3 linked regions of the Drosophila melanogaster genome follow. The gene in region 1 interacts genetically with each later gene. Each region holds a gene or a part of one and is shown in the gene's direction. Other genes may lie near its edges.

Evidence for each region.
Region 2: of mgr (region 1) and betaTub56D, changing one enhances a phenotype caused by changing the other (phenotypic enhancement), as found in Drosophila melanogaster (one study listed by BioGRID).
Region 3: of mgr (region 1) and Pfdn2, changing one enhances a phenotype caused by changing the other (phenotypic enhancement), as found in Drosophila melanogaster (one study listed by BioGRID).

What each region holds. Positions count from the first base shown.
Region 1 is NT_033777.3:11,408,271-11,411,701, reverse strand, and holds mgr (merry-go-round), read left to right. Parts: upstream 1-1,826; 5' UTR 1,827-1,933; coding exon 1,934-2,020; intron 2,021-2,097; coding exon 2,098-2,492; intron 2,493-2,553; coding exon 2,554-2,656; 3' UTR 2,657-2,910; downstream 2,911-3,431. Other genes in the region: Irbp (inverted repeat-binding protein), read right to left, coding at 1-646, 892-1,564; mRpL40 (mitochondrial ribosomal protein L40), read right to left, coding at 2,998-3,316, 3,376-3,431. UniProt on the Drosophila melanogaster protein: Binds specifically to cytosolic chaperonin (c-CPN) and transfers target proteins to it. Binds to nascent polypeptide chain and promotes folding in an environment in which there are many competing pathways for nonnative proteins.
Region 2 is NT_033778.4:19,446,669-19,451,276, reverse strand, and holds betaTub56D (beta-Tubulin at 56D), read left to right. Parts: upstream 1-1,677; 5' UTR 1,678-1,866; coding exon 1,867-1,950; intron 1,951-2,530; coding exon 2,531-3,817; 3' UTR 3,818-3,958; downstream 3,959-4,608. UniProt on the Drosophila melanogaster protein: Tubulin is the major constituent of microtubules, a cylinder consisting of laterally associated linear protofilaments composed of alpha- and beta-tubulin heterodimers.
Region 3 is NT_037436.4:11,072,791-11,076,287, reverse strand, and holds Pfdn2 (prefoldin 2), read left to right. Parts: upstream 1-1,899; 5' UTR 1,900-2,041; coding exon 2,042-2,172; intron 2,173-2,276; coding exon 2,277-2,577; 3' UTR 2,578-2,996; downstream 2,997-3,497. Other genes in the region: Noc1 (nucleolar complex protein 1), read right to left, coding at 1-459, 519-633, 699-1,427; Mocs1 (molybdenum cofactor synthesis 1), read right to left, coding at 3,131-3,497. UniProt on the Drosophila melanogaster protein: Binds specifically to cytosolic chaperonin (c-CPN) and transfers target proteins to it. Binds to nascent polypeptide chain and promotes folding in an environment in which there are many competing pathways for nonnative proteins.

The sequences.
Region 1 (3,431 bases):
GAGCGATAGTTCTTATCTTCCCCATTATCTGGGGCCTCTACTGGCACAAGTGCCACATAGCGAGGTATCGACTTGCGCTTGCACATGAACAGGCAAATGGCAATCTTGTCGCGCACCAAGCATCGTTCCCACAATGCGCGGAACAAGCGCTTCGATCCGATGATGCTCTGATCATCGGGGTACATGAAATTCGCTGGCTTGATGTAGCTAACTTCGGGAAGAGAGGATCGATGCTTGAAGCCCAGCAGCATCATTTGCGGCTTGTGCAGATTGCGCACCCTGTTCAACTGATCCATGCTGATGCGCAGATCCCTTTCGCCCACGTTGCAAGTGTACCAACCGCCCGTCACCTTAATCTGATACTCGTGCTCGATATCCTGCGAGCCATCGTCCTTTTGTTTTTGCACCGTAATCACTCGCTTAGTACGCACCACACTGTTGTCCCTGCGCAGGATTTGCACTTTGCGCGGATAGGCGCGTCGCTGAAAGTAATTGTAGTACTGTACGGACATGGATAGGTTGGGGCCCAGATAAAAACTGAAGTGGCCCAGGCATCGGCGAAGGAAATCCTGCTTCAACTTACGATCGGACAGGATTTCGCGCAGCATCTGGGCATCTGGCACCTGGAAGGCGTCCAGTTCGATAGCTGCAAAAAAGGTCCTCATTAAACATCATCTAGTGTACGGATTGCTATATATTTATTTTATTATTCTTGTAAGCCAATCCAAAACCACGAACCAATTGAGCTTCACTTGGATGCGGGTGAATGATTGCTTATATTTGATCTACGAAGTCTTAAAACCTTTCAGGCGAAAATTGAACGCCAAACAGGGGAACAGACTTCGCACATTAAAACCCATAAGAAATGAATAGCAGACTTAAAGGACTTACCTCTTGACAACGTGATGAACTCCTTGTAAAACGGCTCGTAGTCAAAGTCATCGACCATGGGAATGACATGAAACTCGAACTCCTTGCCCTCCAGATCGCTGGCCTTTTGCAGGGCAGCCTGGAAGTGATTGCTGTTCGATGGATGAGGTTCCCTGACGTCCGTGACATAGGCGATCTTGGCGTTGTTTAGCTTCTTGCCGCACTTTTCCAGCATCTCGATGCAGAGCCGGATCATAAGGTCAAACCTGCCGCGACCATCGGGTTCCGCCAGGCCATACACATCGGCGAACTGCGTCTCCACCCCGCCCATGAATTCCAGATAGTGCTCCACAATGGGTTTGGTTAGTTGGCGAAGGGGCAAGAACACTGCGCAGTTATCCGGCATTACGATGTTGTCCAATGCACTGGCTTCCAGCGGCGGCGGACTGTGCTTGGTGTTGGCGAAGATGAGTCCGATGAGGTCCTTGTCGTTAACCAGAAGTCCGGATATAAAGGCCGTCCGGATGATGTTCAGTGCCTCCAACAGGCGCTCCACGCCGGCTGTCTGAAGATTGGCGTCTACCACGAACAGAATGGCCTCGCGCCCATGGTAGTCCCGCTTCATGGACACATCCTCCTCGTCCTCGGACCCAGACAGCAGGTCCACATCGTTCTCCGGATTCCAGGTGCTCATTATGCGGCTTCTTTAGATTGCTAAAAATCTGACTTTCCGCTAATTTCACAAGAAGGCGGGCGCGCTTATCGTCGCTGTTGTTATCGATTGAGCTAGGGATGAGAGTCACGAAGAGAATTGATATATATTTAAATTTATTTAGACATTATTTAATGTTTTTAACATATTATATTATCCCAACGTTTATTTATATAATTATTTTAATATAAGTTAGTTTTACATTTTTATACGAAGTTGACCACCACCTTTCGATGACAGCCATTCAATCGATTGTTCCATCGCAATTTTGACTCATCGACTTTTACAGCGGCAGGCTGACCTCCTGAAAATTAAATTGCATTTGTAGACGGCACGGCTGAAGGCAACAGGATGACAGGAATAATGGACTCGGTGGAAATGCCCAAATTACCGGAAAACCAGAAGACCTTCGCCGGCATCCCGGAGGCAGTGTTCCTGGTGAGTGGTCCTAACCTACAAGCGTGCACCTGCAGCTGGACACTGCAGGCTAATTCGTGGTTCTTGGGCCCTTGCAGGAGGAGATCGACACCTTCATGTCGCAGCCGGAGAACGAAAATTGCGAAAAGGTGCTGCAGCGACTGGACGAGCAGCACGGCAAGTATCGATTCATGGCCTGCAATCTGGAGGCGCGGCGGCGCAAGTTGAAGTCTCAAATTCCGGACCTGGAGCGCTCCCTGGAAATGGTCAATGTGCTTCGCAAGGAGGACGAGGAGCGCGAGACGCAATTCCTGCTCAGCGACCAGGTGTTCATCAAGACACTGGTGCCGCCCACGAAAACAGTATACCTCTGGCTGGGGGCCAGCGTGATGCTGGAGTATCCGCTAGACGAGGCGGAGGCTCTGCTGAACCAGAACATCACATCGGCCGTGGGCAACCTAAAGTCCGTGGAGCACGATCAGGATTTTCTGAGGTCAGTTCGAGTGCTGTTATTCAAGTTACTTGTTTTATTGTATTATAAATGTATATTTTAGGGATCAAATCACAACTACGGAGGTGAACATGGCGCGGGTCTACAACTGGGGCGTGAAAAAGCGGCAGGCCGCTACCAAGACCACCGCCACTACCCCATCCTAAGGAGACCCACCCAAATCCCATCCCAAGATCAACATCGGTAGCAGCCACTCGCATCTTATTTATTTCGACAGTACACCGCAAGGGCTCGGCAGGCGATTCCACCTGGCTTATTCTTGTTCTCCACTGATAGCAATAAAACCGCCACACAAACGCATCAAGCTGACTCCAAACGAGATGCCTATTCCGGAGGAATGTAATATTTTAATTTGGCTACGGGCATTTAACTGCATGTAAACCGAATAAACGGCGAACGCAATTCATTGAGAGTAAAGCCGAATTCACAAATCATAGGATTAGGGTTCAGTTTATTTCAAATCTTTAACATCCGGAACTTACACGCCTCATTTGACCTCCCACTTCATGGATTGGTGCAGGTAGTCGCCATCGGGACTGACGTAATCCTTAATGGGGGGCGTGGCAACGGGTCCTTTGACGGCGACGGGCAGCAGCTGGGGATCGATATCGATGGCCGCCTGGTAGAGCTCCTCGGACTCGCGCCGAAGTTCCGCCAGCGCCTTGTTTTGCGCCTGGACCAGCCGGTCGATGATCTGAAAGTCTGCTACGCGCTCGTCGTGCTTGTAGTGCGCCCACTGCTTCTTGAGGAGAGCACGTTCCTCCAACTGGTCGATGGTCAGTGGAGCTAGCTTCCGCTGCCGTTTGCTGAACGATAGGATAGCATTACATCTCAGCATATGAGGGAAACCCGTATGAGAACCTACTCCTTTTCGTCGATGAGCTCCAGTGGAACCTCCAGTTCATCCACGGGCTTCAGCTG
Region 2 (4,608 bases), on another chromosome or scaffold:
TGTGTGCGTGTGTGTGTCGAGTGGTCTTTTTGAGTCCCGGCATCTGTGTTTGTATATACCGCATATTTGTCCGATTTCGCAAAGATGCTTGAAAATTGTTGTTCTACTCTGGCATTTGGGGTCCAAAATTTAGAACGAAAGTTTGTTACGCCCGAATTTCCGATCGATATAATGCTTTAGGGCCATTGACATTCGCATATGTACTTCGTGCCCATATGTATGTACATATGTAAGTAATTATAGTTGGGTGTGTCTGCAATTACACCGACGCTGGTGGCTGTGTGTATGCCTGTGTGCGTGTTGCATGCATGAGTCATTTTCTCTTGGGCGAAAGACTTTCATAGTTTTTCACCGGTTGTGAAAGCCATTTCACTGCCCAGATGGTGAAGGGTACTTTTCTATCGTCAAAACACGATAGCTTTTCTACACGCACATAAGAGCTTGCTGCTCATTTGTATGTGTGAGCGTCGGCCGGTTTTTTCATTTAATTTTTTTTTTTTTGCCGCTATGCGTCTTCTAAAGAGAAAACATGACGTCATTTTAACCTAAAATGGCTGAACCGGTCGTCGTTGAACGGTTCGCAGAACGTATAAGAGTTGATCTTATACGTAGATGGGATATAAGTATGTAGATATATGTGTTCGTAGGCTGCATTAGCTGTTCTATTGATTTTCATGCATTCCACACTCTGCTCCCTACTTAAAATTGCGCTACTTCGGCGGCTTCTCTATCTTATCATGGAATGAAACAATTTTCTATTTTTTATTCATGACTATAGTATAGACAGATTTCGGTTCTCTTTCGGCCATTATGTGCCAAAATGAAACTTTACTTTTAGCAGTAGGAATTGGGAGTCTGCAAGGTGAGATGATGACCTTATATAGAGGAATTTGCCATCTGTTTGTCTCTATCCCAGTTTCCTCTCGCACACAAAAAGCAACGAAACCGAGAAGGGCGGTGCTGCACATGCGTGTGGGATAACGGGGCACAGGACACGAAGGTGATGTTGATGATGACGAATCTTTCTAGTCCTTGCCCGAAAAATCAATACCCACATGCTGGGCATGGGCCCATGAGCCGAAAACAACCCTCGGAAACGCCTTAAAACCCGAGCAGCTGCAACATCAGAATTGTTGTGCCCAAGTATGGCTCTCAATATCTCTCTCTCTCGCTTTCGACCCGACCGGCTTACAAATGTGTATTTCTATATTTATATATACACTTTATATACATAGAATCCGGTATGACGGTGTCATTTCGCTAAACGAGTGTCAACCACGCATTTCCTCCAATACCAGTGTAGCGACTTATTTCGGTTAATTGTTTTTATTTGTTTACGCGACATAAACAACGACCATCGCAAAAAGTTCAGGTGACGTAATGCCCTGAAAAACAGACGATTTATGCGCCAGATGGTCGGTAGTTGGAGCACTGAGCTGCAGTTTTAACCTCTCAGCAAACAGACAACGCCAACGCCTCTCTCCAACTGGTACCCACTGCTCCTCCCACTCCTCCTCCGTTTCCCTCTTGCAGAGACGAGAGTGGGTCGCGAGACCCGAACAACCGGTGATGTAAGCCGCATCGGAAGCAGGGGGGCTTTTTGGGGTGGCAGAGCCCGGCTCTGAGGTCGCCGGCATTGCGTGGGGGCAGCACGTAGACATATAGACAGACAGACAGATAGTAGTTATACAGCTCAGTTCCAGCCCACGCCCGAAGATTCGAGTAAGATCGGTCGGCGGAACGCAATGACAGCTGCGCCTCGAGATCCGAAACGAAAACCCACGCCAGATGACGTTATCGTTGGTGTGGCGATGGTGCTGCTGGTCGTGGTGGTGGAAACGCACCAAAAATGGCAGCGAATAAGTTATGTTAATCGGAGCTCGGCCCATACACAGAGTTTATGATGGCGTACATGGGTGGCCTAAACCACGTAGCCGAGCCCAGACATGTGTATGTACATCGGCTGCTTCTTGTGCCCATTTATTCCAATCAATAAAGAGTTATATATAGACTGACTTTCCATAACCCATCACACATTTTGTTCGAGAAGGTTTCTGTATCGAAGTTATCTGTATAAGTTAAGAGAAAAACAAGAAAATAAGATTGCCTTTCACATGCATCAACTTTCACTGGGTATGGAAGAAAAATTTTAAGCAAATTACTTGCAGAATTGGAAATGAGTTTCAGTGATTAGTAAAAGTTTTCTTCAACTGCAGTACTCTTGTGCAAATAAAAGTTACCGTTGCTTAAGCATAAACTTCTTTTGTGATTTATGTGAAGCAGTCAAATAAATACTAGCTGTATATATGTATGCAGCAGATGGTCTAGGCTTTGAGTAATTTTACTACCATTGATTTTCTGTGATGACTCATTGGCCAAGTCATTCATACATTTTCTTAAGACTGAGTTAGAAAACACCCCCTAGTAATCGATTTTCCTGCTGACTCATGTTCACAAGAAATGCTGTACAGCACCTGCAAGTCCTAATCGCACTAATCCCAAATTCTTTACTTCCATTTCTCATTTGCAGTTCTGGGAGATCATCTCCGATGAGCATGGCATCGATGCCACCGGCGCCTACCACGGTGACAGCGACCTGCAGCTGGAGCGCATCAATGTGTACTACAATGAGGCGTCCGGTGGCAAGTACGTGCCCCGCGCTGTCCTTGTCGATCTGGAGCCCGGCACCATGGACTCTGTGCGATCGGGACCTTTCGGCCAGATCTTCAGGCCCGACAACTTTGTGTTCGGCCAGTCGGGTGCCGGCAACAACTGGGCCAAGGGTCATTACACAGAGGGTGCTGAGCTGGTGGACTCAGTGCTCGATGTTGTCCGCAAGGAGGCCGAATCCTGCGACTGCCTGCAAGGCTTCCAACTCACACACTCCCTTGGCGGCGGCACTGGCTCCGGTATGGGAACCCTGCTGATTTCCAAGATCCGCGAGGAGTACCCCGACAGGATCATGAACACATACTCGGTTGTGCCGTCGCCCAAGGTGTCGGACACCGTTGTGGAGCCCTACAACGCCACCCTGTCGGTGCACCAGCTGGTCGAGAACACGGACGAGACCTACTGCATCGACAACGAGGCTCTCTACGATATCTGCTTCCGCACCCTCAAGCTGACGACACCCACATACGGTGACCTGAACCATCTTGTCTCCCTGACCATGTCCGGCGTAACCACCTGCCTCCGATTCCCCGGCCAACTGAACGCTGATCTCCGCAAGCTGGCCGTCAACATGGTGCCCTTCCCACGTCTTCACTTCTTCATGCCCGGCTTCGCTCCCCTGACCTCCCGAGGATCCCAGCAGTACCGCGCCCTCACCGTGCCCGAGCTGACCCAGCAGATGTTCGATGCCAAGAACATGATGGCCGCCTGCGACCCACGCCACGGACGCTACCTTACCGTCGCCGCCATCTTCCGTGGACGCATGTCCATGAAGGAGGTCGACGAGCAGATGCTGAACATCCAGAACAAGAACAGCTCCTACTTCGTCGAATGGATCCCCAACAACGTGAAGACCGCCGTGTGCGACATCCCGCCCCGTGGTCTGAAGATGTCCGCCACCTTCATCGGCAACTCCACTGCCATCCAGGAGCTGTTCAAGCGCATCTCCGAGCAGTTCACCGCTATGTTCAGGCGCAAGGCTTTCTTGCATTGGTACACCGGCGAGGGCATGGACGAGATGGAGTTCACCGAGGCCGAGAGCAACATGAACGATCTGGTGTCCGAGTACCAGCAGTACCAGGAGGCCACCGCCGACGAGGACGCCGAGTTCGAGGAGGAGCAGGAGGCTGAGGTCGACGAGAACTAAATTCGAATCGGAAATCAATCGAATTCTCGATCAATGTTTTGCGAAAAAAAATGAAACGAGAACAAATGAATTCAGTTGTAAAAGATTTGTTCTCTTAACAACGTAATCAATAAAGTCGGATCCAATTTTGTTCACAAGTCTAAACAATTATGGTTTTTGTTGGGGTTTCTTATAATTAATAAGAGAGATATCAATCATTTTACGAGGATTATGAGACTGCGTTTTGTAGTCCAAGAAAGCTGATTAATGTTTAGAGTGTTGGTATAAATGTTAATAGGCTCATTAATGTAGGTTTTGACAAAAGCGAGGTATTTGTACATTTTCTCATTGTATTATTTGGATTCACAAATTTATGTTTATTTAATCGGGTTTCTCCCAGCTAAAAACAATAGAAATCTTTTCACCGGCTGTGTTTGTTTTGGACATGGTTATGTTGTGATGATTGATAATTTCATTCACATTAGTTTATTTATAGACCTTTTTTATTTATTGACAATGATTTGCCCTACCTACCTCAACTTTCGAGCAAATGCTGCATAAACAAAAGTAATTCGCCCTTGAAGAGGACATGACATGATATTTTCAGCGTAGGAAGTGGGCCTACGTACCATTGTGGTTCAGACGGCCTTGTATGCAATAAATCTAATTAATATATATATATATATATATTATGGTAGTCTTAACGCTACGGTTTCCCACACGCGATTTTCATGAAGCTGGAGTGTAAGTTTTTTGTTTTTATTCAAAACTTAAAAATCCACTTTGCATGTGTCATAAATAATGAGTCATGA
Region 3 (3,497 bases), on another chromosome or scaffold:
CCTTTTCGGGAGCATAGGCCAACAGCCTGGCTGCTGACACAATAGAGGAGTTCTTATTGTGTTCCTGTCCAGTCTGCAGGCCCTGCATAACGTTCTTCAAGAACTCGTGGTACTGATCCTTTAATTCGCTCTCAAAATGCCAGTACGCGTAAATGCGGCGCTTCTGTTCGTTGCGCAAATTCTCATCCTTTTTCAGCTTTTTCCAATCAGCACCACGTGTGTGCACCGCCAGGAGTTTTCTGTTTGGCGGGAGCAGCACCTCCTGCCACAAATCCGTGAGCACTGCAATCACATCATTGCTGGCCTTGTTGGAGATCTTGCAGAAGCCAATTAAAGTGCTCAATGCTTCCAAATTGCCCAGTGGATTGCTCGTCACCAGAAGGGCGCCCGCATTGGCCCGATCCTTTGCAGTACCCTTGTGCAGAGCGGTTTGCAACCAGCGAGCATCCGAGGGATTACCTAAAGATGAGATAAAAACATTAGTAGGGGTTCCAATTTCCGAGTCGAGAAAGTCTTACGTTTATTAAAAGTTATCTTCTCCGCTTCGAAGGAATTCTTGCAGAGATTGTACAGCTCCAGCTGATCGTTCTCCTTCATGTCCAGCACCTCATCGGTGGACGGATAGTCGGGATGCTAAGATACGATAGTGATAACTATAAATGATTTATTTCCACGATTTCAGTTTAGTTTCAACATACCACATGATACCACTTCTTTTGGGACTCCTCGTCTTCATCTATTTTTGACTGATATTTGTTGTGCTTTTTGGAAATGGAGTCCCCCAGTTCCTCATCACTGTCTCCATCGCTGTCGGATACATTTTTTCCAGCTCCATCCTCATCAAACTTGATTCGTTGGGGCTTTTTAAAGTTCTCCTTGGACTCTCCGTCATCTCCAAACTTGATTTTTTGGGACTTCTTGGTCGGTTCCGTCTTTGTGTTGGAAGAATTCGCAGTTACTTCATCTTCTCCATCATCAGTGAACTTGATTTTCTGAGGTTTATTGGCGAAGTCCGACTTTTGACCATTATGTTTATGGTTGTTTTTGTTGAAAGGTTTTTGATGCACTGCTTCTCTATCCTCTCCAAATTTGATTTTCTGTGGTTTTGGTCCATTTTTATGATTTTGGTTGAACGACTTGGAAGCTACTTGTTCTCCATCATCGCCGAACTTTATTCTCTGTGGTTTGTTGGCAAAATCCGGCTTTTGGTGGTTCTTATTAAAGGACTTAGCACCTTTCGCTTTTCCATCCTCTCCAAACTTAATTTTCTGCGGCTTTTTCACCTGTTCCTTCCCTTCAAATTTTGGCCTTTGTGGGTGCTCCTTTTTGTTTTGTTTAACTACCGCCTCGCCGGAGTCGTCGAACACGATTTTCTTGTTTTTGGGCGGTCCACCGAATTGCACACCTGTGGCCACTGCTGCCGGCATGATTTTATATTTTCTAAAGCTATATATTAGATAAAAATCATTAAATAAAATAAACGGCGTTAGAAACAACTCGCACGTGTATTCAAATATGACATTCACCGCGAAACGTAAGCAACATATGTATGTCGTCTACTTAGTGACGAATTTCATTGTCTTTATGATATTAAAATTTTGTATTTAAAATCTTAAATAAGAGAGTATCCAACTTAGTTTTAAAATTTATAAATTATTCAGTAATTACCATTGAAATGACCGTGACTTTTGATAGCAGGTGGGTTTGAAGTTATATAAAGCTTGAAGTTATTATAATCTGATTATAAGTAAGAATAAAATTGAAATTCTTATATAGAATTACTATTAATTTATAAATTATTACATTAACTTATGTTTAAGTAACTGAAGTTGTGCTATATTTTCTTTTACCGTTACACCATTTTTCCACAATACATTTACGGTCTTACTGCCTTGACGCGCTTGGGATTTGTTAGGACGTTTATCGCATAGTCCTCGTGTTCGGTCTCGTATTTTGAAAGAAAATCGCAGATTATCGCCAATTTGAAGCGATTATCCCGGTCTAGATTTCGAAGGGGTCCTTTTGGATAGCGAACATTGCAATGAGCACCGAATCGGCGAAGCCGGCACTCAGCCAGGAGGCCATTGTGGCCCAGTTCCAACAGCTGCGCAATGAGCAGCGCAATTTGGTCAACAGTTTAAATACGCTCGAAATGGATTTGAGGGAACACAAGTGAGTCACCGGGGGCCCAAAGATGGATGACACGTCTGTTTGTGATTTTGGGCAAGTGGGAGAATCCCTGCAGACACAATGACATAACTCCTTATCCTCCCTAGAACTGTGATAGAAACTCTGGAGGCGGCGGATCCCGAACGGAAATGCTTTCGTCAAATTGGTGGTGTGCTGTGCGAAAGGACCGTGAAGGAGGTGCTGCCACAGCTGGTGGAGAACAAGGATTTCATCGCCAAGACCATCCAAATGGTCACCAATGACCTGAGCAAAAAGGGCAGTGAGCTGAACAAGTTCAAGGAGGAGCACAATATCAAGATTCGCGGCGAACACTTGGTTGCCGAAGGAGCCAAGGGCGACGATGCGGAGGACAAGGCGGAGAACCGTAATGTCCTGGTGTTCAACTGAGAGCGATTGATTACCTCACCACACCGTATTTATTGTGTCTATGTTGAGAGGGAACTCTGCCAGGATTTGCGAGCGATAATCCGCGTTTATTGAACACTTCTAATGTTGTATGTACTTCTAGCTGTAAGGCGCAGTTCGCGAAACGCCTCCAATCGCACCTTCACACCAACACTATCCATCAATTCCCCTCATTTAAACTTAACCCACTCTGGCCACGAATTAAAGATACCTTAAACTTCCGATTGAAATTAGTCATGTGTCTTGTGATTCATTCAAGATCTGAAAATGGATGGACCTCTATCCACCGACTGGAAACAAAAACTATATAAACTATATGATTATTTATCCCTTTTATGCCATTTGTTCTGAAACATTTTATTGGTATGTTAGTCAAATTAGTTTCCTATAAGGAAGTGATTTCATCTACATTTTTACACTTATGTATTCTTGCTTCATAAGTCTTTTAATTTAATATTTGTGGCTAAATCAAGTAAGCAGTAGTTTATTTTCCATTCCCCGTATCGTGGTTAATCCGGTTAGTCGGGTATTCGACTTATTCGACTTCTGTAACTATCCCATTTTGCGGCTCCTCCCTCTGGAAGTCCCTTTTTCCGCCGGATTTGCTTAGCAGGCGGACATTTGTGATGCAGATATCGTGAGAAACAGCCTTGCACATGTCGTACACAGTTAAAGCGGCCACTGAAACTGCAGTTAGTGCCTCCATCTCGACTCCAGTTTGGCCCGAGCAGCGAACGGTTGCCTCCAGCCGCACAGATTGTTCGGTTTTCAGAAGAGTGGCCTGCACTTTCACGGAGGACAAGCTGATGTTGTGACACAGGGGTATCAGTTCGGCGGTTCGCTTAGCGCCCATTATGCCAGCAATTTGGGCTACGGTTAGAACATCTCCCTTGGCCACTTGA